Macaca mulatta: one gene and its partners. The protein of the gene in region 2 purifies or fractionates together with the protein of the main gene of each other region. This does not show direct contact. Links are inferred from orthologs where the notes say so. Each region holds a gene or a part of one and is shown on either strand. Other genes may lie near its edges.

Evidence for each region.
Region 1: the proteins of CSNK1A1 (region 2) and UNC45A purify together in Homo sapiens (affinity purification with mass spectrometry; 4 studies listed by BioGRID and IntAct, with this or other methods). This does not show direct contact. The link is inferred for Macaca mulatta from reciprocal best matches to the Homo sapiens genes CSNK1A1 and UNC45A.
Region 3: the proteins of CSNK1A1 (region 2) and SEC16A purify together in Homo sapiens (affinity purification with mass spectrometry; 5 studies listed by BioGRID and IntAct, with this or other methods). This does not show direct contact. The link is inferred for Macaca mulatta from reciprocal best matches to the Homo sapiens genes CSNK1A1 and SEC16A.
Region 4: the proteins of CSNK1A1 (region 2) and FAM83H purify together in Homo sapiens (affinity purification with mass spectrometry; 9 studies listed by BioGRID and IntAct, counting the BioPlex papers as one, with this or other methods). This does not show direct contact. The link is inferred for Macaca mulatta from reciprocal best matches to the Homo sapiens genes CSNK1A1 and FAM83H.
Region 5: the proteins of CSNK1A1 (region 2) and DBR1 purify together in Homo sapiens (affinity purification with mass spectrometry; 3 studies listed by BioGRID and IntAct, with this or other methods). This does not show direct contact. The link is inferred for Macaca mulatta from reciprocal best matches to the Homo sapiens genes CSNK1A1 and DBR1.
Region 6: the proteins of CSNK1A1 (region 2) and FAM83B purify together in Homo sapiens (affinity purification with mass spectrometry; 5 studies listed by BioGRID and IntAct, with this or other methods). This does not show direct contact. The link is inferred for Macaca mulatta from reciprocal best matches to the Homo sapiens genes CSNK1A1 and FAM83B.
Region 7: the proteins of CSNK1A1 (region 2) and RASAL2 purify together in Homo sapiens (affinity purification with mass spectrometry; 4 studies listed by BioGRID and IntAct, counting the BioPlex papers as one, with this or other methods). This does not show direct contact. The link is inferred for Macaca mulatta from reciprocal best matches to the Homo sapiens genes CSNK1A1 and RASAL2.

The regions. Positions count from the first base shown.
Region 1 is NC_133412.1:80,853,810-80,857,309, reverse strand, and holds part of UNC45A (protein unc-45 homolog A), read right to left. Parts: intron 2,803-3,500; coding exon 2,634-2,802; intron 2,334-2,633; coding exon 2,163-2,333; intron 458-2,162; coding exon 286-457; intron 1-285.
Region 2 is NC_133411.1:158,474,086-158,477,585, reverse strand, and holds part of CSNK1A1 (casein kinase I), read left to right. Parts: intron 1-1,054; coding exon 1,055-1,194; intron 1,195-2,395; coding exon 2,396-2,474; intron 2,475-3,500.
Region 3 is NC_133420.1:6,037,235-6,040,734, reverse strand, and holds part of SEC16A (protein transport protein Sec16A), read right to left. Parts: intron 3,228-3,500; coding exon 2,982-3,227; intron 1,369-2,981; coding exon 1,271-1,368; intron 1-1,270. UniProt on the Homo sapiens protein: Acts as a molecular scaffold that plays a key role in the organization of the endoplasmic reticulum exit sites (ERES), also known as transitional endoplasmic reticulum (tER).
Region 4 is NC_133413.1:154,097,724-154,101,925, forward strand, and holds the start of FAM83H (protein FAM83H), read right to left. Parts: upstream 2,801-4,202; 5' UTR 2,603-2,800; intron 1,891-2,602; exon of another isoform or gene 1,750-1,890; intron 1-1,749. UniProt on the Homo sapiens protein: May play a major role in the structural organization and calcification of developing enamel. May play a role in keratin cytoskeleton disassembly by recruiting CSNK1A1 to keratin filaments. Thereby, it may regulate epithelial cell migration.
Region 5 is NC_133407.1:41,170,391-41,174,444, forward strand, and holds the start of DBR1 (lariat debranching enzyme), read right to left. Parts: upstream 2,801-4,054; 5' UTR 2,667-2,800; coding exon 2,470-2,666; intron 1,506-2,469; coding exon 1,381-1,505; intron 1-1,380. UniProt on the Homo sapiens protein: Cleaves the 2'-5' phosphodiester linkage at the branch point of excised lariat intron RNA and converts them into linear molecules that can be subsequently degraded, thereby facilitating ribonucleotide turnover.
Region 6 is NC_133409.1:127,437,690-127,441,657, forward strand, and holds the start of FAM83B (protein FAM83B), read right to left. Parts: upstream 2,801-3,968; 5' UTR 2,154-2,800; exon of another isoform or gene 2,150-2,153; intron 1-2,149. UniProt on the Homo sapiens protein: Probable proto-oncogene that functions in the epidermal growth factor receptor/EGFR signaling pathway. Activates both the EGFR itself and downstream RAS/MAPK and PI3K/AKT/TOR signaling cascades.
Region 7 is NC_133406.1:35,888,847-35,892,346, forward strand, and holds part of RASAL2 (ras GTPase-activating protein nGAP), read left to right. Parts: coding exon 1-128; intron 129-908; coding exon 909-1,770; intron 1,771-3,500. UniProt on the Homo sapiens protein: Inhibitory regulator of the Ras-cyclic AMP pathway.

The DNA of each region.
Region 1 (3,500 bases), on a different chromosome or scaffold from region 2:
CACCTGTGTGAGAACAGATGCGTAGGAAGTGCTTGGTAAACCCAGTACGTGCTTGATGGCATTTGTTGCATTACTGGAACATTGATTTGAGAAAGAACCTCCCCGGGGAGGCCACTTTGGAACAGGAAGTGGGCCTTGGGGCCACTTTCCCTTCGTCCAGCCCCCAACTAGTCCTCCCTAAGCCTACTCTTTCTGCTGGAAACCTTTCATTTCTGCCCCTCCTCAAGGAGTCAGAACTTTTTTGCTGGAATCCCTGGCAACAGGAGGTGAAACAGACTTCCTTACTTGATGTAGTTTTCACAGAGTCGGTGGAAATTCTCCCTCTCCGCATCACACTTGAGGTCATCAAAGAGCTTGCTGAGGAGAATGGAGGCGCTCATGCGGCTGTTCGCGGTCACTGCAAGCTCCCCAGGAGGGTCCTGTAGAGAGCCCCCAACTTCCAAAATCTTTTTCAGACCTGAAAAGACACCCCATTTAGAAATTAGAACACTAGTTACAACCCCTACAAGTAAAAGGAAGAGGCTTCCTAGGAGATGCGGAGAAAAGCAAGACAAGAAGGCTACAGAGTTCTGACAACTGCGTCCAGGGCAGCCCAGAGAATCTGCTTAGCTGATCTGCTACCTAAGGGAGGCAGCTATAGGATCGGGAAGGACCTCAGAAGTGAGGCCTGCATGCCAACCCTGCCCCTGGGGCCAAATGCTCTGGAGCTTTGAGGTTCCTCATCTGTAAAACTAAGGGGAAAGGAATATCCACACCTCATAGGATCATTGTGAACACAATATCCACACCTCACAGGATCATTGTGAAAGGCCCTGCTCATGCAGGGCCTTTGCAGAGCTTTTCTTATTTATCTTTTTTTTTTTTTTTTTTTGAGACAGTCTCGCCCTGTTGCCCAGGCTGGAGTGCAATGGCGCGATCTCAGTTCACTGCAACCTCCACCTCCTGGGTTCAAGCGATTCTCTTGCCTCAGCCTCCAGAGTAGCTGGGATTACAGGTGCGTGCCACCACGCCCGGCTAATTTTTTGTATCTTTTAGTAGAGATGGGGTTTCACCATGTTGGCCAGGCTGGTCTCAAACTCCTGATCTCATGGTCTGCCCGCCTCGGCCTTCCAAAGTGCTGGGATTATAGGCACGAAGCAACGCACCCAGCTCTTATTTATGTTTTAGGGGAAAAGAGAGATGAATTGATATATCTACCTTTATTTTTTCCTCTAAGTATGGAAGTAATACATGCTCACTAAAAAAAAAAAAAAAAAGGGGGCCAGGCGCAATGGCTCATGACTGTAATCGCAACACTTTGGGACACCAAGGTGGGTGGATTGTTTGAGGTCAGGAGTTCGAGACCAGCCTGGCCAATATGGTGAGATTCCATCTCTACTAAAGATACAACAATTAGCAGGGCATACTGATGTGTGCCTGTAATGCCAGCTACTCGGGAGGCTCAGGCAGGAGAATTGCTTGAACCTGGGAAACGGAGGCTGCAGTGAACTGAGATTGTGCCACTGTACTCCAGCCTGGGCGACAGAGTGAGACTCCATCTCAAAAAAAGATACAGAAAGCTAATCCAGCCTCTCTGCTAACCTGCTTGCAGGCCCATTCAATGTGCATGTATCTGCACACACATATGATAGAAGAGTCTAACTTTGAGCCCCCTAAGGGTAGCTCCTATGTCTAGTAGGTGTTGCAAGAGCTGAATCCCATTGCTCTGGAAGATCTTCTCAGTTCCAGCATCCTCCTGGGCCAAAGGACACACTTCAGTGCAGACACATGGCTGGAGATAATCACAACTTTTCTTCCTTTTTTTTTTTTTTTTTTTTGAGACAGGGTCTCCCTCTGTTGCCCAGGCTGTACTGCAGTGATGCAATCATAGCTCACTGAAGCCTTGACCTCCCAGGGTTAAGTAATTCTCCCACCTCAGTCTCTGGAGTAGCTAGGACTGCAGACGCACACCACCATGCCCAGCTAATTTTTTAAATTTTTCATAGAGACAGGGTCTTGCTATGTTGCCCAGGCTAATCTCAAACTCCTGGCTTCAAGTGACCCCCTGCCTCCCAAAGTGCATCATCCACCATGCCTGGCCCCACTCACAACTTTTCTTACTACTCCTAAGGATAAACAAACTTCAGCTGCCCAAGCAAGTTTTTGTGAACTATTTCACCTACCTTGGTCAATGACCCAGAGGGTGAGGCTGTTGTTGGGGTCCTTGAGAGACTTCCGGGGCACTGCTTTAATCAGGAGGGTCAGGGCATTGTCTCGGCCTTGGCCAGAGACCCCCACCTCTGTCAGCAGATCTAAGAGGTTACTGATGAGGACCTTCAGCTCCCGGGCAGGATCTGGCAACAAGAAGACATCAGTGGGCTCCACAGCAGCCCAGCCCTGTTTGGCCCTTGAACTTCAACAAACCAGGGAGACACAGGGAAGGGGGGATCCACATCCCAGGCTCCAGACTGAGCTCCAGCTTTGTCCTGAGACACCTTGGCTGCTGAGAATCTAGAGTAAAATAATGTCACCAAACCGTATTCCAAACAACCTGCAGCTCCAATTCTAGTCCCCAAAAAACTGGCCTGGCTGGCTCAGCCCCATCCCTTCCATGACAGTAACATCCAAAAGACCCCAGACCTGCTTCCACTCACCCACGATGATGGCGCCTTCTTTGCCTTGGAATCCTTTTTTGACACCTTCCTTGAGGGCATCAAACATAACCTGCAGTAGGTGGCAGGCAGCCAGGGACACAGCCTGGTTTTCCACACCCAGGATGGAGACTACTCGCCGAGTTCCCAGTATGCTCAGGGTTGCCACTGTCTGCGGTGGGAGAGGTGGACAGAAGCTTCCAGTTGGTCAAGGGCAGCTACAGATATCCCTAACTGTAAGTTAGAGAATATGGCCAGAAGGAGAGAATTGGGTGGAAGGCCCAGCTCCAGGTGAAACCAAGACAGAACAGATGGCGTGACCCAGGGTAATGGCAGGATAATTTTGTTAGAAAGACTTCCTAAAGGAAACATTCCAGAGCAATGCCCTACTACCTCTCCTTGGTGCCAGAGAAGACACAGTATACTGTGGCCCTGGGAGCAGTTGCTTTAGCTCATGTCTCCCCAAGAAAAAGACCTAAACCTAGACAAAGCTACCTGACCACAAGGCTTAATGGTCTAGTTCTTCCCCAATCTAAACCCTGAGGTTCTTTCCACACCCTGGGGATGTGGATTTCCACACCCTGGGGATGTGAATGTGCACGGAATGGGCCCATGAGACCTCTCCACCCCATTTCTAAGCTGGAGAACCCTAGAAGGCCTGCTTGGTCCACTGAGTCCTGATCCTGACTGCTTCCACTTAGCAGCTGAGTGTCCTTGGCCAAGACTGTGAACTGGGATGGACCAGAAGGCAGGAGGGAACAGAATGCATATGCTTTTACCAATCTTAGCCTTGTGAGACCCAGAATGCAGCCCAAGCTCAGCCTAAAGAGATTTCATTGACTATTTCACAGTTCCACTCCTATCTAGGAA
Region 2 (3,500 bases):
AATACCTTATTCCCTGAGTACCATATAGACATGATAACATTAAACGTTATTTTGTTCTAAACACTAGTTTTGTTTTTAGTTAACTCACTTAAACTGCTAATTGTAAGCCACCTTGATTTAAATGCTAAGTGCTTTTTGGGGGGATTTTTATATCAACTTGTCAAATTTTCTAGAAGTTTAACCTGACCCACGTGTATAGTGTCAGTGCTAAGTAGTAGTTTTTATTAATGAAAAGTCTTGTTTTCATTGGCAATGTCAGACTTTTAGAGTAGATAACAAGCATTCTGTTGGCACATTTAAGAGTGGCCTTTGTAGGAGGGAAGAGTTCAGATAGCTTATATCTGGATTTTTTTTTTTTTTTTTTTTTAAGACAGTTTTGCTCTGTGATCAGGCTGGAGTGCAGTGACGTGGTCTTGGCTCACTGCAACCTCTGCCTCCCGGGTTCAAGCAATTCTCCTGCCTCAGCGTCTTGCGTAGCTGGGACTACAGGCATGTGCCACCACGCCTGGCTATTTTTGTATTTTTTGTAGAGATGGGACTTTGCCATGTTTGGCCAGGCTGGTCTCAAACTCCTGACCTCAAGTTATCCGCCTGCCTCAGCCACCCAATGTGCTGGGATTATAGGCGTGAGCTACCGCACTCGGCCATTATATCTAGATTTTGAAATCTCATGTTTGTTTACCAGTAGTAACAGGTGTATAGACGATCAGGTGTTATGACAGATAGCACACTTGTTGCTTCTGCTGTCAGGCATGTATATGTTTCTTTCTTTATAAAGACAGGCTCCTGAGTATGTAATGAAATGGGCCTGCAAAATCTGCAGATGACAAGGATAAACTACTAGACTTTTTTTTTTTAACTTGATTTATTGATGAAGACTAGTAAAAACTTATGGGGGTGGGGTGTTAAGTCTGTTCATTATCTGCTCTATTAATACTTAGGATACTTTATTTTGATATATTCGAATGCGTAGAGTAGATACCGTTTAATGAATAAGAAGCAGTTTAATTGAACAAGGTTGGAAACCTAATGTTTCTGTATTTCTCTTTTAAAGTTATTCCTTATTGATTTTGGTTTGGCCAAAAAGTACAGAGACAACAGGACAAGGCAACACATACCATACAGAGAAGATAAAAACCTCACTGGCACTGCCCGATATGCTAGCATCAATGCACATCTTGGTATTGAGCAGAGGTAAGTTTGAAAATGGAATGTGCTTATCGTAGCCACAGCAGAAGCCATCAATGGGTTTTTGAAATATTTCAGTTTCTTACAATGTCTGAGGATGTTTCTTGGCTGAGACTTTGAAGGATGCTTATTAATCATTTTACCTGCTGTTTTAGACAGTGTAGAGAAGACCGTTAAATGAGATCTTTTGAATTTGTTGTTGTTGTTGAAGGTTGTCTCTTGGGGGGAAAATACTGTGTGATATAAAGTTAGAAGCATAAGTGCAATGTTGACGTTTCTTTTTGCAGCTGAAGATAGTACGTATATTTTTGAAGCTATTCGGGACTTTTTATACTTTAGTAATTCACGTTGAGTTTGGGAAGAATGCATTATTTATTTTTGAAAGGAAAATGTTATCAGTATCCTAATAAACCAAAAGTGGGTTGATGGACCATCTCCTGTTATACTTCACTCAAATATGTAAATTAGTATGATCTAGTTTAAAGTAAAAAAGTGTCACAGTCTCTGCTCTCTTCCTGTTTCTTCACATGAGTTCTAGAGTTTCAAGTTCCTTTCGTCTTTTACAGTCACTTTTCGCTCCTTAAAACAAGCATAGAAGTAATTAGTGGGAAAAAGCAATGATATGACTCCAGGTTAAACAACCTCATACCAAGAATTTCAGGCTTAAGAAATATCCATGAATATCTTAATACTCTAGGTTAAACTGTAATGTCACTTTTTCCGTACGCCAAGGCATTACCTACACCTACCCTTAAATATATATATCTCTAAATATATATTTGTATGTATGTATATATAGATATGTATGCATGAATACATTCATATAGATGTTCAATTAGTTTAAGTCGTAACTCCTTTTCAGTGCTCCTGAAGTTTTTAAAATGAGTTTCTGCAAAACATAGGAATGTCATCCTGCTTGGTTCATTAAGCTCATTTAGAGGGTTGTTTAGCCAAATCCTTTTTCTTCTTTTAAAATTAAATTGTAAGATAGTTGTTTGTCTTATTTTGGATTCTGTGGGAAAAGTTTTGTTTAGAGGTAGGTAGCACACAAACTTTTTAAAATCACCTTAAATAAGTAGCTTCTTGCGTAAGACACCAAATAGTGTTCCCTCCTCATTTGGGAACATTTCTCCTGGGTACTTGGCTTTCTTTCATATGTTTTTCGTAATAATATTTCCAGTTTATAAAGTTACGTTCTCTTTTCTAGTCGCCGAGATGACATGGAATCATTAGGATATGTTTTGATGTATTTTAATAGAACCAGCCTGCCATGGCAAGGGCTAAAGGTAAACCAGACTCACGTTATCAGATTTTTCTGTCTCTTTTTTAGAATAAAAATATATATTGGAGAAGATAAGATTTAAGGTCCTTTCTAAGTCTGAGATTTTTCTGAGATAATAAAGAATTAACCTTAATTTACTTTTTACCTTTTATTTGGGAAAATGAAACCAGATCATTTTAGTAAGAACTTAGTTCAGCTGAAGAACAGTGTCCTCTGAGAGACAGTAAGCTGGTACCCACTGGTAGCCACTAGCTCTATCCAGATGGAAGTGGACATGGACTAAGAAAGGTGGAGACTTTCTCACGTTAATATGTTGCCATTATGTTGAAAATGTATGTTTTTATGTACAGCAAAACCTGTTTATCCAGCAACACATGTCCTAACATTTTGTTTCTATTAGCTAGGAGTTTACCATTACTTTTGTGAGTGTGTGTTAATGATAAATCACCGTGTCCTAATTTTGGGTGGGGGTGGGGGCACAGGGAATGGTCATGCTCTGTTGCCCAGGCCGGAGTGCAGTGACACAGTCGTGGCTCACTGCAGCCTCAACCTCCTGGGCTCAAGCAATCCTCCTGCCTCTCAGCCTCCTACCTGTAGCTGGGACTACAGGAACATGCCACCATGCCCAGCTAATTTTTAAATTTTTTTTGTAGAAACAGTGCCTCACTGTGTTGCCCAGACTGGTCTCAAACTCTTGGGCTCAAACAATTCTCCCACTTCAGCATCCTAAAGTACTAGGATTATAGGTGTGAGTCACCACTGTTGGTGTGTCCTAAATTTTAATGGCTATTTTTGTACCTTACCTGTTCTTTAAAGAAATACCTGTATTGATTGAGTGACTGTGAGCTAGTGCTCAGTCCTTGGGTAGGTGGCTTTATCCAATATGAGTATTTTCACTTTAGAAAAATATTGTGACTTATACAGTTAACTCCATTTATTAATGTCACTAATTGATGAACAAACTTTTTTTTGTATTAATCTGATGCCTTTGCCCTTGTGTTGAACATGGGTTAAGAAAATGCTTTTCAGG
Region 3 (3,500 bases), on a different chromosome or scaffold from region 2:
CCGAAGCGGGCGGATCACCTGAGGTCAGAAGTTAGAGACTAACATGGAGAAACCCGTCTCTACTAAAAATACAAAAATCAGCTGGGTGTGGTGGCATGCACCTGTATTCCCAGCCACTCAGGAGGCTGAGGCAGGAGAATCGCTTGAACCCAGGAGGCAGAGGTTGCAGTGAGCTGGGATCGTGCCACTGCACTCTAGCCTGGGCGACAGAGCAAGTCTCCATCTCAAAAAAATAAATAAATAAAATAGTAATAAACTAAATTAAAAAAAAAAAACCAGACCTCAGCCCTCTGATGTAATGATTAGACTTATATTTCACTTAGGCAAAGTACACATATCTCAGTATTTTATTTTTCTTTCCCTATCTCAATATTAAAAAAAAAAAAAAAAAAGCTGTAAAAGATAAGTCCAGGTGTGGTGGCTCACGCCTGTAATCCCAGCACTTTCAGAAGGTCAAGGTGGGCAGATCCCTTGAGGCCAGGAGTTTGAGACCAGCCTGGCCAACATGGCAAAACCCCATCTCTACTAAAAATACAAAAAATTAGCTGGGTGTGGTGGTGGATGCCTGTGGTCCCAACTACTTGGGAGGCCAAGGCGTGAGGATCACTTGAACCTGGGAGGCAGGGGTTACGGTGAGCTGAGACTGCGCCACTGCACGCCAGCCTGGGCAACAGAGCAAAACTCAAAATTTAAAGAAAAAGCTATAAAAGATGGAGACTAGGCCGGGTGCAATGGCTAACGCCTATAATCCCAGCACTTTGGGAGGCCAAGGCGGGCGGATCACAAGGTCAGGAGATCAAGACCATCCTGGCTAACACGGTGAAACCCCGTCTCTACTAAAAATACAAAAAAACTTAGTTGGGCATGGTGGCGGGCGCCTGTAATCCCAGCTACTCGAGAGGCTGAGGCAGGAGAATGGCGTGAACCTGGGAGGCAGAGCTTGCAGTGAGCCGAGATCACGCCACTGCACTCCAGCCTGGGCAACAGAGCAAGACTCTGTCTCAAAAAAAAAAAAAAAAGATGAAGACTAAGGAATTCACTGAGATTTTATGTGAAGTATTAAAAACCATGCGGTTAATAAAAAACTTTTTAAGCTCTCCACAGCACAACCCAAGGAAGCCTGAAGCCAAGGAAGCCCGAGTTCGTGTGGGAGCACAGCACAGTCAAGTGAGATCTGCCTGCCACCTGCCACCTGCCACCAGTGTGGACGCTGCGTGCTGCAGGGAGCCAGCAGGGCTCGCCACTGGACCAGGCCACCGTGGGACTGTACCTGGTCATGACTCGGGCGTGTGTCCGGCTGTCCATCTTACTTGCAAGGAGCAGAGCGTGACCCCACAGGCCATTCTTCATTGCAGACTCCAAAGCATCCTGCAAAAGGCATTCCAGGGGCCTTGGTGAGTTATCGGTGGTGCTCATGTGACATGAGTCAAGACAGGCGACAGGCCATGTGTCCTCACGCAGCAGCAGATACACAAACAACCCAAAGGCCTCAAAAACTTATTCACCATTTGGAGATTAAGACACGTCAGCATTTCACTATTTTCCTGAGTTTCAAAGTCCCTGTGGTAGTGGGTATCTGTAGATATTTGCTGCTTTTATCCATTTTCAGCATAAAACATAAGCACGCTAATCACAAATAGGGCTAACCACACCGCACTGCCCACCACGCCGCCCCGTCCACTGGGAAACACACGCGGGTCAATTCCCCGGTTCTAACAGGAGGCCTCCACGAATATCCGTCAGCACAGACAGTGGCTCCAGTAAGGCAGCCTCCCCTTTCGCCAAAATCATCTAGGGTATAATTTAGGACTTCAGGCTAGGAGGCAAAAATGCTACAGTAGAGGAAGATGTTAATAAAAGCTAACAGGTTACACGACTTCAATCAGTTATAAAACATCCATAATAGACTCATACTGATCAGGCCGGGCGCGGTGGCTCATGCCTGTAATCCCAGCACTTTGGGAGACCAAGGCGGGCGGATTGCTTGAGCCCAGGAGTTCGAGACCAGCCTGGCAACATGGTGAAACCCCGTCTCTACGGAAAAAAAAAAAAAAAGTTAGCCCGGCGTGGCGGCGTGCAGCTGTAGTCCCAGCTACTCAGGAGGCTGAGATGGGAGGATCACTTGAACCCAGGAGGTCGAGGCCGCATTAAGCGGTGATCACGCCACTGCACTCCAGCCTGGGCAAGAGCGAGATTTTGTCTCAAAAAATAAAACTAAAAAAATAAAAGTACTGGCCAAATATGCCCTTTCTGAGTTTATCATGATATAAAAGGACGGAGAGCTCTGGGCCTATCCAATGTCTCTGCTATTCAGGGCCACACATGCCCGTGAGACTGGCCTCTCTCCTGCTTAGCACATCCAAAGCGGACATCATGCGCCCTAGACAGGCCCTCCTGTGAACACACTGTCCCTGCTGCAGTCGCTATGGACCCCCCAATCCCACTGTCCCAGAGCAGGCTCCTGTCTCAGGTCCCCCACCTGCCCTGGTCCCCAGGCTGCTGTGGCCCCAGTCACTGGACGCTATACGCACTGGCTGCTCCCCTGCCCGTGGCCTTTCCATGCACTGCGCCTCTGACAGGCTGGGTGCGTCCTCCCAACTCCCAACGACTTCTGGGCTGTGGACTCGAGCCTGACTTTGTGAGAATGCCAAAACTCGTGTCATGCATGTCTCATCTGAGACTTGGCACACACAGCAGGGACACGGCCCGTGCTCAACACGTGCATTTATTGAATGACTGAAAATTCCATCTGCAGGTCTCCAACACTGGAAATAGTTAGAAGGAAACCCACATGAACACCTCCAGAAGGATGGCATAAAAGAGGCCGGCATCGTTCACGAAACAGCAAGACCCGAAGCCCCACACCGCAGCGCGGACGCTCCCGAGAGGGGCCGTGTCCCTCCCCAACGGCTGCATCGCCCGCACCAGGCCCGACCCAGTGGACACCTGCAGGCGCCAGGTGCCATGATGGGCAGGCGCACCTTCTTACGGCCATACAGCAACAGCTCCCTGAACCGCTCCGTCTCTCTCTCAAGAGAGCTGGCAGCAGCCGTCGGACCACCAGTGAGGAAAGAGAGCTGGGCCTCGCCAGACTCCTCCTCTTCCACCTGCTCCACCGCCTCGTTCGTGAAATCAATCAGGTTTGCTTCATTGGGCGACTTCCCAGGAAGCCACACTGTTCTGTGGTCTCGTAAGAGAAGCTCCGCAATGTCGGTCCCTACCACGGTCTGTTCGGGTCAACAGGAACAGGAAGGAGAACAATGGCTCTCAGGTGAGGACGCATTAGATCATCACGGGGACAAAGCCCCACCCTGGACACAGCCAGACCCACAACTACCCGAAAGGCTGGCAAGGCTGGACTGAAACCTCATCTCATCCCAACCGCATGTTCCCTCTCCCTCCCCACCCAGTCCTCGAGGCTCCCACAGCTGGGCAGGCGGATCTCGCCCTGCTCCGCCAGGAGGCTGAGCATGCAATGCCCAAGACGAAATGAAGACCAG
Region 4 (4,202 bases), on a different chromosome or scaffold from region 2:
CTCCTGCCTGGGTGATAGAGACTGCATCGCTACAAAAAATGAAAATAAAACCAACCGCCCCCCAAAACATTTTATGACTGTTGGCTTAAAGACAAACATAATCCAGGCTGTATTCATCATTATAGTATTCACTTTTTTCTTAAGACATTCACAGGCCCCTGGCACTGTGCCTACTGGATAAGCTGGTGCCACCCATGCTGGCATGTGTCTGTCCCTGACTGCCTGGGAAACCGTGGGTAGGTCACTGCACCTCTCTGGCCTACCTCTACTGCACAACACAGCTGAGGGTCCACAAGACACCGTGCCTAGCCAAGGTGAGCGCAGCAAACAGGGCTGTGACCACCCTCCTCCTGGAATGGCAACCCTAAGCCCTACGCATAGCCCCGGGCGACACCTCCTCCCCATCCCCAGGGTTTCACAATTGGGTTCCCACAGCCCATTCTATGACTGCCCAGCCTTGCAACACTGACCCCTAGACTCTGTCTCTGTCTACCAGTCCCCCTCCTTCCCTTGACCTTTCTTGTCACTGTCCTTCTCAGATAACACCTCCCTGGACCACAACCCCTTGGTGCCCACAGGGCCCTGCAGGGCCTGCACTCCATATCGCCCAGATCTGGCTCTCCACTTGCTCAGAGTCCTGTTGCCACCAGCCCCCCGTCCAGGGCAGCAGGGACCTTTCCAGGTCCTGGGCTCCCCACCATCATCCATACTTGGCTGCCCCACAGCCCAATCTGTTCTCCAAAGGGTCCCTGCAGGGTGCCTGGCCTCTCCAGAAAGGTCAGATGGGGCGCACCCAGGGCCCACGCCTGGGGTCACCGAGCTACCTGGGTACCTCTCCCTGGAAGGAGAGCCCTAGGGACCGCTCAGCCCATCCCACTGCTCCTCGGGTTGGGGAGGGAGGCAGGACACCTATCCCCGCCTAGCACACAGGTTCCCGAATGTTGGCCCTGGCTGGGAAGGTGGTTCAGCCCAGACAGAGGAGTGTGCCCTGGGGCACTGACAGGATGGGCGCTGGCCAGCTGGACTGCACGGGTGCTAACCGGAGCCACTAGGCTGAGAATGTTGGGGTCAGGAGGCCGCCGTCCTGCCTGGTACCCCCGGGGGTGACATGGAGTTGGGACATGGGAAATACCTGGTGCCACTCAACAGCCCCAGATGCCAACTGGCCTGGGAGAAGCTGTCCCAACATTTCTTTGTTGGGGCATTGTCCTCATGGTTGACATATGGGGCTCGTTAGGGCAGATCGAGGCCAACCACATGGGGGTGAGGTGTAGGCCTGTCTGGCTGGGCCGGGGCGCCCACTCACCACTGCCAGCCTGGCTGTAGGGGCGGTGTCTGACCATACAGGGCAGGGGGAACAACCCTGCTAACCTTGTTTGAGGGCACTTCCCGACGCTGGGGGACACTCTAGAAAGGACCCCCACTGTCCCTTAGGATTTCACAGGGGAGGGATATCCACACAGCATCCAGGCTCCAGGCTGTGTGTAATGGGGGCAGGGATCATCTGGACTGTGGAATCCCCCGTTGCCAGGAGCCCTCCCAGCAGACACCCCTCATCATCACAGGGTGATGCCCAGACCTCCAATGGCTTCATTCCTCACATCGTGTCCTTTCATGGGTACGTGTCTGCTGGGCTATGGACGGGGCCGCAGACACTCCCAAGCCTGAGATGGAGCACCCCAGTGGCCTGCATGCCCACACATTTGCCTACCAAACGCTTGCCCAAGGGAGGTAGGGCACGGAACCCACCCATGGCCAATGACTCAGCACGAATCCACTCTTCTGCTGCTGACCCCTGACCTCTGACTCGAAGTCAGGGCCCTCAGCTGGCCTTCAAGGACCCCATCCTCTCCACCCTGGCAGGAAGTGGGGTTCCTGAGTATCTGGAAGGAGGACCCCATGGAAGGATCCGGAGTTCCTACACAAAGTGGGGTGAGCCTGTGCCAAGTTCCGATGGGCCCAGGAGGGCGCGGAGGCTCTAGGAGGCGGAAAGGTGGGGTGCGGAGGACAGGGCTCACAGACCGGAAGTCGCTCAGTGATAGCTTGCGGGGTGGGCACCCCAGCCCCCAACGGGGTCAGTGCACCCTGCGAGCTCGCGGCTGCGGCGGCTGGGTGCCCCATCCACCCACCCCAGCCCTGGAACATGGGCGCTACGGGCAGCCCTCCCGTCACTCGCCCTGCTTGCCAGGCGGGGATCCAGGCCGCACCCTGGCCACCCCAGTCCACGGTGGCCCGGGCGGGCGTCCCCAGGGAAGGGTCCAGGCCGTGCCCAGCACCCAGACTCCAGCTAGGCCGCGAGGGCAGCAGCGAGTCGGGACGGCCAGGCAGGCTCGACCCAGATCCCGGGCCGCTTCCCACTCGGCTCTTCTCGGGCTGCCGTCGTGCGAGGGCGCTCGCGTCCATATCCGCACAGCGGCGCCCCCTGTCCGAGCTGACCCGCCGCCCCGGCCCCGCGCACGCGGCCGCGCTCCACTCCCACCTCCCCTCTCTGGGTCGCGCGGCCCCGGCCCAGGTGCGGGCGCGAGGGTAGCCCAGGTGGGACCGCACCGAGGGGCGCCCGCCCCCGCCTCGCCCCGCCCGGGCCGGGGGAGGGGGGCCCTACCTGGCCAGGTGCGCGGGGTCTCGGCACAGGGGCAGCAGGAGCCGACCGCCGCCCAGCGGCCTCGCGGTCCGGTCGGTCCGGCAGCCACTCCCTGCCGCGGCCCGCCCGGCCTGATTCACGCGCCCGCCCCCGCCCCGCCCGTCGCTCCTGCCTCCTGCCTGCCCGGGCAGCACCTGGGGGCGGAGCGGCCCCACCCGCGGCGCGCCCGCATTCCTGCGCCCCGCGCCCGCCGCGGCCCCGCCGCCCGCCCCGGACCGCGCCCCCGGCCCGCGCCCCGACCCTCCGCCCCGACTCGCCCGTGCCCTGCGGCCACGTGCCCAGAAACCCCGGCCCAGCGCCGCCGGAGACCGTGAGGCCCCCACTTCAAAGGCCTCGACCCCCAGGAGCCCAACTGTTGACCCCAGGCTCAAAGTTCCTAGCCTGACCCCTGACCCTCGCCCCGGAAGTTGGGGTGACTCGGAAGTTCCGGCTCAGTCGCTAGGAAACAAGCCAGCCCGACGCAAGGGGCGGAGCTCTGACCTCCTCGCCGAGTTGGTGAAGGCAGGTGCGGCAGGTGAGGGCGCTGGGGCGGCGTCGAGCCCCGGGCGGGGCCGGGTCTGGGAGCCCCGAAAGCACAGGGGATCCATTCACCACACACCGGTCTCCCACCGCACCAGCGTCCCACACGTAGAGGGGATCCCGCCCAACAGAGGACCCCCAGGCCCCGACCCCCACCACACACACACACTGATGCCCACAAGTACCTGGGGTTCCCCATCTTTCTCCCTCATCCCTTCACATCCATGCCCACACTTGTAGGGGACTCTGCTGCAGTGACCCCCAATGCACATGCGGACCCCGAATGACCTGTCCCTCGTGTGCACCAACCCCCCAAGCACAGGAGACTCCTCAGGAAGACAGAACCCAACAAGAACACCCAGTCCTATCCACTTCAGTCACCCACAAACACGCTGACGTCCGCACACGTAGGGAACCCCACCTGCATATGAGAGCCCTCAGACACCGATCCCACACACAAACAGGGATGCCATATTCACACTGACTCTGAGAGACCAGGGGACCTCCCTCACACATATAGAACCCTGGGTGTACACTCGGGGACCCCGCGAAAACCAAGCCCCAACACGGACAAGGGACCCAGTGTGCACACCAAGCCTCACATACCAGACGCCCCCGCATGAACACAGCAACCCCACACACTACCCCGAGCTGCCCCTGGGTGCTCCAGAACCCCCAAATCCCCCTCAGGCCCTCACTTAGGGCCTCTCCCCCCACTTAGGCCCTGCCCTGCACTGGATTACCTGTCCAAACCACCACCCTTCACCCCTGCCACTCCCACCCCAAGGACTGGCCCTGCCTGAACGCTTTCTGATGGTATCAGTCACCTTTCTGTTTGTCCCTCTTGCCATGTGATCCTATTTTCTGTTTTCAGGGTCACTCCCAGTTTCATTTGTTCTTTCCCCAGACACTCAGTGACACCCCACTGGTACCAGTATGCTGGAAACATGGGTGGGGGGTCAGACCAGTGCCCAGGCAACTGTGCTGTAGCGGGTGAGGGGCATGGGGCACCAGGGAGGACCCCGACAGGCCAAAGCAGGCA
Region 5 (4,054 bases), on a different chromosome or scaffold from region 2:
GACAATTTCACTTTTTCACAATATTGTAATATAGAACGAATACATCAAAAGATGATCAATAAGTAGCAAAGTAGGGAAACTAAATTTCTGAAATTACAATCTCATCATTGGTAAAACCTATAAACAGTTCTAGAAAGAATATACATTTAAATAAAGGGATGAAGCTAGGTGGGATGGCTCATCCCTGTAATCTCACCACTTTGGAGGCCCAGGTGGGCAGATCACTTTGAGCTTATGAGTTCGAGACCAGCGTGGAAAACATGGCCAAACTCAGTCTCCACAAAACAATACAAAAAAACAAAAAAATTAGCCAGGCATGGTGGTACACGCTTGAAGTCACAGCTACTTGGGAGGCTGTGGTGGGAGGATGGCTTGAGCCTGGAAGGCCAGAGGCTGAGATGAATGAGCTAAGATGGAGCCACTGCACTCCAGCCAGGGCAACAGAACCAGACCTTGTCTCGAAAAATAAAGGGATGAAAAGGCTATATAGTTTATAGGGACTAATATTGAAACAATCTAATCAAATCTGTCAATCTAAAAGCAGATTATAGGAAATGCAGAGGATAAAAGGAATCCAATCAGCTAAACCCTGAATGCAGGAAATGCCACAGGACAAATTTCGTGTTTTCTTCAGCAAGTAAATGGCATGAAAAAGAGAGACAGGGAGATTATTATAGTCTAATAGACTTCAGAGTCGTGACAACCAAATGAAATGGGCTGGCCTTGTCTGGGTCCTATTTAAACCAATTGTAAAGCAGACATCCCTAGGTTAAGCAGGGAAATCTGACCATGAACATGGCAATAGATAATGAGTACTTCAGTTAAGTATAATAACAGTACTGTAGTAGTATTTTTAAAGATCCTTATCACTTAAAAACATGTACTGAAATATGTATAAGTGAAATAATCTAACAGTTGGATTTGCTTTAAATACTCTAGTCATCTCTTCCCACAAAAGAAAAAAAAAACAAAAAAAAAAACCAGGAGACTTCAATATAATAGTCGTTGAAGCTGGGTAACAGGTACTGAGATTCATCATGCTATACTCTACTTTTGTGTATGCTTAAGAATTTCTATTAATAAAAGTTTAAGGTCTTTTTTTAATTCAATAAAAATTATAAGAAAAAAATGAAGCGATTACAAATAGTGTGTGAGGTCTTTCAATTATATTAGCTAGTGCTTAAAACACTAGATGAAGGGCATATTATCATGATCAACCATTTAATAATTAACTATCTTAATTAAATTTTCATGATTAACTATTTAAATTAATGACATTCTCCAAACACCATACCTGTCAAGACACAGCCCAACTAGCGCAAATCCTGATAGACTCTTCCATCCCGGGAAAAAAAATTATCCACAAACACAATCACATACCTAAATAATAAATGTTTGGTGCCACCCAGCCACCATAGGGTAACTCTTGCAAATGATTTGAGGCTTCATGGTTTCCCCCAATGAAGAGCGTGAGAACTGGGGCCTTTTTCTCTCCAGAGTAATACCTAGAACATAAGAGCAAAGTCAGTTACCACAATTGGGCATACTAGAAAAGCAAGTAAGTTCTGAAAAAACAACAACAAAAAGAAATTGACCTCATCATAAAAAGTTAAAAAGCTCTTTCAAAAGGAATTGCCCGGGGCTGGGTGCGGTGGCTCACTCCTGTAATCCCAGCACTTTGGAAGGCCGAGGGGGGCGGATCCCCTGAGGTCTAGAGTTCGAGACCAATCTGGCCAACGTGGTGAAACCCCGTCTCTACTAAAAATGCAAAAATTAGCAGGGTATAATCCCAGCTACTCGGGAGGCTGAGGTAGGAGAATCGCTTCAACCCAGGAGACGGAGGTTGCAGTGAGTCAGGATCGCGGTACTGCACTCCAGCCTGGGCAACAGAGTGAAACTCTGTCTCAAAAAAAAAAAAAAATTGCCCAGTATCCATCCTTGCCCTTAGGAATGAAGAGCTTCCACCTTGGGCCTCAAGTCAGTGCCTGTTCAAATAAGTCAAGAACTGTGTCGAGTTCACTGCCATAACCTTATCTTTCTAGAACCACAAGCACATAGCAGGCGCCCAGTAAAAACTCCAGGATCACTAAATGAACTAATTCCAGAGTCCTATCAAGTAGCTATCTAAACCTGTCAGCTTCTTCCTCCAGGTTGTCCCCTCCCAGGCTTCGATCCCGTGTGAAATGGATAAAGATGGGTGTATGGAAAGAAGGAAAGTGACATTTCCTAAGCTCCTAATGAGACAGGGTGCTGAAAGTTAAGCAGACACAATTTGGTACCTAACTGAATACAGTACCTAACTGAATACATTTCCCGCCTCCCACTACCTCACCCCTGTATTCAGTTAGGTACCAGTTAAAGACACAGAGCGAACAAAGGATCTAAGGGAAACAGGCAGCCAGGGGCAGAGGGAAATCGAACCCAGTCCCACGCCGCACCGCCAAGTCCCGGCCCGGACCGCGTCCTCACCTGTAGAAGGTTTGCATGTGGCGGTACTTGGGCGGCACGGCCATGCAGCGTAGGTCCGCCTCGTTGCGCACCGCCTGGAAGTCGCCGCAGCACAGCAAGAGGTCGACAGGCCCCGGGCCACGCCGCTCCGCCAGCGCCAGCGTCTCATAGATCTTATCCAGCTCGCCGTGGCAGCAGCCGGCCACAGCCACCCGCATTCTGCCGGCCCGAGGAGGTGAGCGCTGCCTGCAACGCACTACACCACGGCCTGCCCAGGCCCGAATGATCGCTCAGCTCCCGCCAACTTTAATAAGTAGAGCCACAGCCTGGTGTAGACGCCTGCAAAATAATTCACTTCCGGTTTCCAGATCTCGCGATAGAGGAACCGGGAAGGTCAAACCTAACTCCGGGATCCCAGGGAACTTATTTTCTTTTTGTTTAAAAATGTCTTTCCACTCTGGGCAAAATGGTGAAACTCTATCTCTACTAAAAATACAAAAATTAGCCGGGCTCGGTACCGGAGGTCTGTAATAACAGCTACTCCAAAGGCCGAGGTAGGAGAATTCCTCAAACCCAGAAGGTGGAGTTTGCAGTGACCCGAGATCACGCCCCTGCACTCCAGCCTGGGCAACAAGCGAGACTCCGTCAAAAAAAAAAAAAAAAAAGGAAAGGAGAGGAGAGGGGAGGGCGGGGGAGGGCGAGACTCCCTCTCAAAAAAAAAAAGAAAAAAAGAAAAAAGAGAAAGAGAGAGATAAGAAAAGAGGCCGGTTGCACTGGCTCACACCTGTAATCCCAACACTTTGTGAGGCCGAGGCAGGTGGATCACGAGGTCAGGAGTTGGAGAGCAGCATGGCCAACATGGTGAAACCCCATCTCTACTAAAGATACAAAAAATTAGCTGGGCGTGGTGGCTCACACCTGTAATCCCAGCTATTTGGGAGGTTAGGACAGGAGAATCGTTTGAACCCAGGAGGCAAAGGTTGCAGTGACCTGAGATCGTGCCATTGTACTCCAGCCTGGGTGACAGGGTGAGACTCTGTCAGAAGGAAGGAAGGGAGGGAGGGAGGGAGGGAGGGAGGGAGGGAGGGAGGAATCTTTGTTTCACCTTAATTTATAAAGGATGTGTTTACTGAGTACTGAATACTAGTTAAGCAGTGTGTTTTTGTCTTTGTTTTACAAAGCATTTCAAAAATAGCATTCTATTATATTTTGACTTGCATTATCTTCTATGAGAAGTCACCTATACACTTAATTTTTTTTCATTGAAAGTAATGTGTCTTTTTTTTTTTTTTTTTTTTTTTTTGAGACAGTCTCTCGCTCTCTGTTGCCCAGGCTGGAGTGTGGTGGCATGATCTCGGCTCACTGCAACCTCTGCCTTTCGAGTTCAAGCGATTCTCCTGCCTCAGCCTCCCAAGTAGCTGGGATTACAGGCGCACAGCACCATGCCCAGCTAATTTTTTGTATTTTTAGTAGAGACGGGGTTTCACCACGATGGCCAAGCTGGTTTCGAACTCGTGACCTCAAGTGATCCTCCCACCTCGGCCTCCCAAAGTGCTAAGATTAAGGTGTTAGCCACTCCGCCCGGCCAGTAATATGCCTTTTTCTT
Region 6 (3,968 bases), on a different chromosome or scaffold from region 2:
AATTGTGAAACATCCATGGGACATTCACATTTTGCAACTTATAAAGGGACAGATGTGCAACTTACCTAACTAGCTAAACAAGGATAACTTGAAATTTTACCAATAATTAATTAAACTAAGCTAAGTGGCCTCTTTTCAAAAGGTCTCATCCAACTAGATTTATGTATTGGAAGAGTCCTGCTTTGATGGGATCACAGTTTTTTACCCCAAGATTCTGGACACTTAAAAGTATAATAACATTACATTTTGGCAACTCAGTATTGTATAATGTAATTAAATGGGAAACAAGTAGGTGAGTTGCTGCAAGGTGAGTCATGGTCAAGAAAATACTCAGTGAATGAACCTCCACCTTAAACTATAAAGAACGGTGGACGCTAGAGGGAATAAAATAGAAAGATTAATAAAATTAATTAATTCATCCCAAAAAAGTTTAGCCAGTTAGCGTCATAAACTCAAGGGCATAAACGTAAAAGACATCACTGAGTCAGCGCCAGAGGTGTGGTTTGTCTGCATCTACACAATCTCTTTCAGCAACTGTTCAATTGGTAATGCTTCCCACAATAAATTCTCAGCATCTGCGGTCTAGAGCCTGCCAGCTTTAAAGGCAGGATCCACCCAGCCCCTTAGGCAGGCTCTAGAGGGTGTAGCCAGCACCCTAAATAGGTGTATACCCCCCCACGTGTGCCTGAGCCCCAAAGGCAAGGGGGTGGAATTTGCAATTGGAAGGTGTGGGGAGTTCTACTTTTCTGGGAACTATAGGAAGACAGAAAGAAACAAACGCAACAAAGACCGGCACTCCCAACCTTCCATCGTTCTATTTCATATTATTCTCATTCGTCAATCATTTTGAAGCCTCCCTCCGCCACCACCCCCCCCCCCCAAAAAAAAACCCAGCTTTCTCTTCTAAGTCCCTTTCATCACTGTCTCCTTTCCTGATGCTAGTCAGCAATGATTCAGCCTCTGTCATGGATTTCCTCCGGGCTCTTGCACTTGTTAGGATGAGAAAGGGAAAGAAGGGAGGTGCCTGCCAGTAACCTGGCAAGATGTTTGTAAATGGGAATTTGGACATAAGGTGTTGGGCATTAAATTCTCGCCTCAACTGCTTGCCACCCGCACACCTTCTTCTTAAGTGTTCTGGCCGCCTGAGCTCTCATTTCCACGTCTAGGTCAGAGAGACCCTATAACCTCACCACTCCAAGCATAGACAACGTGCTAACTTGTGTTCCCATAACCTCCCAGCCTCCTCCTCTAAAGCACTGTTGTCTCTTGACATACCTATGACCCCTGCAATGAACACAGGCACATTCCCTGCCTCTTCACTCACCTTATGCAGGCAAGACCCCCCACATATCACACAGAATAGGCCAAAAGTCTCCAAGTCCCGTTCCAGGAGCAACCTGCTCTAGGCATACTCTCCTCCTCTAGATCACTCACCACGATTTAGAGCAGTGGTTCTCAAACTTTGGTAGGTACAGACTTTCTCCTGGAGAGCTGCTAGGGCACACAGACCTAGACTCAGGCCGACCCAAGTTTGAAAAACACAGGTCGCTACCAGTCTGCACTCAGAAACGGGATCCTGTACAATTAAGAGGTTGTGTGAAAAAAACTGTCTTTTCAAGTTCTGCTCCTCACTACGGATCTAAAGAACACCCACGCCCCTCAGCGACCTAAGGTCTCCCACCTTTTCCCGGAACCCTCCACCCCCACGTCCTCCGCTTCCACCCTGGATTTCCTCCCACGAGACTCTTCCCAGCGGTCTCTCCTCCCGCTTCCTCTCCCGGGGTCCTCGGCGCACTCCTACACTGGGAAAGAGGAAACAAATCCAGCGTCCACGAGCGGCGGCGCCCGTCCTTTGGGGACCCAAACCGACTCCGCCCGAGACAACTTTTCAAAGTTCTCAACTCACTCGCACCCACACGACAATGAAAGAAACGTAGAAAAGACTAAAGCAACTGAGCTCTGCACCCTGGGGAACTTCCAATCCCGCGCGCGCTCCCAAGGGGGAGGCCCTTATCCCTCCCGTCAGCCGCGCCGGCCAAGGGCGGGTGAAGCCCTGGGCCCCCCCCCGCCCAGCACCCCAAGCACCTCAACCCTGCGCCCGCTGGGGTCCCGCCCGCCGTGGTCCGGGGCAGGGGAGCCCGAGCCCCACTTACGGCCAGGAGCGCCCTAAGCCGCGCGCAACCGCGCCCGCCACACCGCGCCCGCTGCCGAAGGTTTGCCTCCCAGGAAGCAGCGAGCGCCCGGGCGAGGGCGGGGAGGGGAGGGGAGTTACCTGCCCAGCGTCAAGTCGGCGGCGGGAGGCTGATTCCGGCTCGAACCGCGCCTCCCCGAGACCGAGGTGCAGCGCTAGAGGGGGCGGGAGTGGAGACGGGTTACAACAAGTCTCTAGTCGTGGCACGCCAAACCCCAAACAGCCAGAAAGCGCTCGGAACCTGTCTGAACTCAACCACCCAACCCTCTCCCGGCGGAGTATGAAAAAGCCTTTCTTTCCTGCCCGCCCTCGGGGCTACGGGGCAATTACAAGTCCCGACACCCTGCTCCTGGGCTGGGGCAAGGAGCGATCCCGGAGGACAGCGACGCTCACCTGGGAAGAAGGCGGATCTAGGCCGAGCGGGGCCGTAGTCCCGGCCTCGCTTCTCCCTGGGCTCATGAATGCCTGGAGGACAGGCCTGGGGACGGCGGGGTGAGAGCAAGGGTTGTAGCACCCTGGAGAGTGTGGGGCGGATTCATCCATAGTAGGTAATTCCACTGGGCATCCCGCAGTGCAGACTCCTTCTCAACGCCTAAGAGAGTTTTTAGGCTTGGAGACGACGTGAGGAGTGGAAAAGTACAAGAAAAAGTGCTTGTGCATTTACCTTTTTTATGTAAAAGAATTTTTTTTTTTTTTTTTTGAGACGGAGTCTTGCTCTGTCGCCCAGGCTAGAGTGCAGTGGCGCGATCTCGGCTCACTGCAAGCTCCGCCTCCTGGGTTCACGTCATTCTCCTGCCTCAGCCTCCGAAGTAGCTGGGACTACAGGTGCCCGCCACCACGCCCGGCTAATTTTTTTTGTATTTTTTAGTGGAGACGGGGGTTTCACCATGTTAGCCAGGATGGTCTTGATCTACTGACCTCGTGATCGACCCCCCTCAGCCTCCCAAAGTGCTGGGATTACAGGCGTGAGCCCCCGCGCCCCGTCACAATTTCAAATATCATCAAAGATTTTGGTACTGACTCTCAACTGTCCTAGTTACAGATTTGGGATGAAAGGATATTGTTTAAAATAGGGAGATGTGCGTCAAAAGCAGGTCACTCTAGGTGGGATACTGCGGAGCAATGTTACGGAAGTAGAGACAGTATAATTTAGTTTTAACATGAAATACAGTAAATAATAAAATTTATTTTTTCATTTCCTTGCCTACACCTCAGTAAATCTGTCATGAGTATTTACAATAACTTGTGTAATCACGTAGACTTCAAGATATAGTCATTTGCAGCAAATGTTTAAAATGCAGCCTAGTATTGTAAGAATGGAATTTAGGGTAATAATAGGCATATTTTAAGCTTCTGGCATAATATATAAATTATCATAAAATTGAATTGACCCTTAAAAATGACTTTCATGGCTATTTTGCCCGTAATTAAACAGTTTAGGAAAATGCTAAACCATTAAGGTTTGGATTAATCCCTAACTGATGTGCTGATTTAAACTGAAGAATGAAATTCGCATTAGTCTGGATACTGAAACATCAGAGCAAAGGGCAAAGTCAGGAAAGTAAAAGCAAATTCCAGGATATTACAAAGCTAATCTTCCAAATCTTGGTGTCTGATTTGTAGTTTCTTTTCTTCAAAAGCATGTAGAGAATTGTCTTGTTTTATGTATTTATTTTTTTCCTTCTGTTCCTAATTTTCACATCTCACTTGTTAGTATTTTTTTCAGTTCTCTTCCTCATTTTTGGCATGCAATCCATTGACTAAATTAATATTCTGT
Region 7 (3,500 bases), on a different chromosome or scaffold from region 2:
AAGTCATTGACTAATCCTACGCCAATACAACAGCAACTGAGACGCTTCACTGAACATAACTCCAGTCCAAATGTCAGTGGAAGCCTCTCCTCTGGGCTGCAGAAAATATTTGAAGACCCCACTGACAGGTATGAAAGAGAGGACGTGACCAATATCTCAGAGAAATATAATGTTCAGATTTAGCAGAAGTATATTCAACCTGTTTTTTGAATTTACAAGTTTAAAATTATGAGCAATTGAAGACTCATCTGACCTGAGAGCAGTTCAATTATTTGTCATTATAATGCACAAGATCTGGGATAACTTATTTTCTAGAATGGTAGTATAGAGAGTTATAATATATTCCCCAGCATATTTTTAAAATTTCTGTCTTGCTTAGTGGAAGACCAAAGGCTTTATGAAATTCATGTTTCTATACGTTATAGCATTCAAAAACCATGGAGAACCTCGGTGAAAACCATTTTATAGCTGGCTATGTCAGCTGGACAGGTAGATACAATGTTGATGCTTAGACTGTGTTATGGATTGGCAAGATTTGTGCCTTTAGCAGGGACCTTGCAGTTGTGTACTTAGAACTTCTCTTGAAGGTTTAGATAAGTAAGTATGAATTGGAATATTTCAGGAAGGTTTAAAACCTAACTAGGAAATTATTGGAATCCTGGTTAAAACTGAAGACAGTGATGGGTTGGTATCTACAGTGTTATTCTCTACTTTTGGGGAAAAAGTAAAAATGCTGGATTTTATTCTAACAATTGTAATAATTCCCTAATTATGTAAAATCTGAGTTTCCAAAGAAATGTATGTATCCACATAAGAACCTTCAGAGGAGTTCACATGCCTGAATTGAGGCATCTTAGCCATGTTGAAGTTGTCTCAAGAGAAATTAAGTGTCCTTTCCTTTTCTACAGTGATTTGCATAAACTAAAATCTCCAAGCCAGGACAACACAGACAGCTACTTCAGAGGGAAAACATTATTGCTGGTTCAGCAAGCCTCCTCTCAGAGCATGACTTATTCTGAAAAGGATGAAAGGGAAAGTAGCCTTCCTAATGGTCGGAGCGTCTCCCTCATGGACCTCCAGGACACTCATGCTGCTCAAGTGGAGCATGCATCTGTCATGCTTGATGTGCCTATACGCTTGACCGGAAGCCAGCTTTCCATAACCCAGGTGGCCAGCATCAAACAGCTGCGGGAAACCCAGAGCACTCCCCAAAGTGCACCCCAAGTGAGAAGGCCCCTGCACCCAGCCTTGAACCAGCCAGGTGGCCTTCAGCCCTTGTCATTCCAGAACCCTGTCTATCACCTCAATAACCCAATTCCAGCAATGCCAAAGGCCTCTATAGATTCCAGTTTGGAGAACCTAAGCACTGCCAGTTCCAGAAGCCAAAGTAACAGTGAAGACTTCAAGCTTAGTGGACCCAGCAATAGCAGCATGGAAGATTTCACTAAACGTAGCACTCAGAGTGAGGACTTCTCCAGGCGGCACACTGTGCCAGACAGACACATACCTCTTGCTTTGCCACGACAAAATAGTACTGGGCAGGCCCAGATCCGAAAAGTGGACCAGGGTGGGTTAGGTGCCCGAGCCAAAGCCCCACCATCCCTGCCACATAGTGCTTCCTTACGTAGCACCGGGAGCATGTCAGTGGCGTCCGCAGCCCTGGTGGCCGAACCTGTGCAGAATGGGAGCCGGTCCCGGCAGCAGTCCTCTTCCTCCAGAGAGAGCCCTGTTCCCAAAGTGAGAGCAATCCAGAGACAACAGACACAGCAGGTAGGCACGAGTGCTGAAGGGGCGTGGCTTCTACTTGGTCCATCTGTTTCTTTGGTTCTTTATACGTAAATCATTGGGAAATCCTATTGTTAACAATATTTCCACTTAAAAGCAACCTTTAAATGGAAAGAGGAAAGGAAAATTTGGGGAAGCTTCTGCCTAAGTGAGACTGCAGAATGAAGTTTGACTCATTACCCTTAAAAGTCTAACAAACACGCAGGGGCCCCCTTCTCTTCAAGCAGCAGAGCTACTACCTCAGTTTACACTTAGAACAAATCGGTGATGTTGAATGAATAATTAGATACTTAAAATCTGTAGGCAAAACCAACTATTATTTTGGGAATCTGAAAATTAATCCCTCTTAATTTTTTTTCTTAAGCTTCCAGAATAAAGGTTTGCATTCTGAGCCAAGAGTTTAATGTGACTGCTCTCCATTCCATCCCTCAACTCTCTCTGGAAATACAAAGTCCCATGTGCCTTTTCCTGGAAATGGCTAGAAAAATAAACACTTGAACACATAGAGAGTCAAGGTAAAGGAAAGATTAAAAAGATAGAAGCACAGGGCCGGGCGCGGTGGCTCAAGCCTGTAATCCCAGCACTTTGGGAGGCCGAGACGGGTGGATCACGAGGTCAGGAGATCGAGACCATCCTGGTGAACATGGTGAAACCCCGTCTCTACTAAAAAATACAAAAAACTAGCCGGGCGAGGTGGCGGCGCCTGTAGTCCCAGCTACTCGGGAGGCTGAGGCAGGAGAATGGCGTGAACCCGGAAGGCGGAGCTTGCAGTGAGCTGAGATCCGGCCACTGCAACTCCAGCCCGGGAGACAGAGCGAGACTCCGTCTCAAAAAAAAAAAAAAAAAAAAAAAAAAAGATAGAAGCACAGGTGGAAAAGGAAGTATTCTGAACATTTGCAGATCCCTTACATTTCTATTTACATGGACAAGCCCAGCTAACATCACATCCAATCATAATATAAGATTTTCTGATTTTTTTCTTGACAAATAAAAAGCTTTGCCCAGAAATTAATCATTTCTTCCTTACATATTACATTTTGAAGCATCAATACATATTTTTCCCTTTGAAACAAACTACTGTTAAATATATATATACACATTCATGTAATTTTTCATATATATAACATATATCTTTTTATATCTTTCATCTAAAAAGATTTTTCTCCTGAAAAAGCATTGTGTTAGTTGAATTTTTTTTGAAACCTAATGATAGTACTAGAAAGTTTGAGATTAAAAGAGTTCTATGACAAATCCTTTTATGCAGCAAAATAACTGGGGAGGGAGACTGCAATAAAATCCTAATTTGTATCTGTAATATATTTGCATTTTTACAGTTTAGGCACTTACTGATATGGCTGCGTCTGCCTCCAGTCTGCTATGATCAGAGCCCCTTACACCTACTTTGATTTTTTTAATTGGATTATTTATAGAATCCTTGGATACAGAAATAGAAGAAGGGATGAAAAGCATGACTAACAAACTGTTTCTGGAAGCAGACTTCCTGGGCTAAACCTCCTACTTGGTCATTTTTTACTGAGTAATAAAGTTTTTCTACAGTCTTAAATTTTTCATTTTTATTTTGTTATATTTCCCAAAGATTTGATTTAGTAAGCATTTGTATTTGAAGAAAAGGAAAAATACGTATCTTTTATATGTATCATATGTATTTTTTATACATAAATGTGTGTGTATATATAAACATAAAATGTATGTGT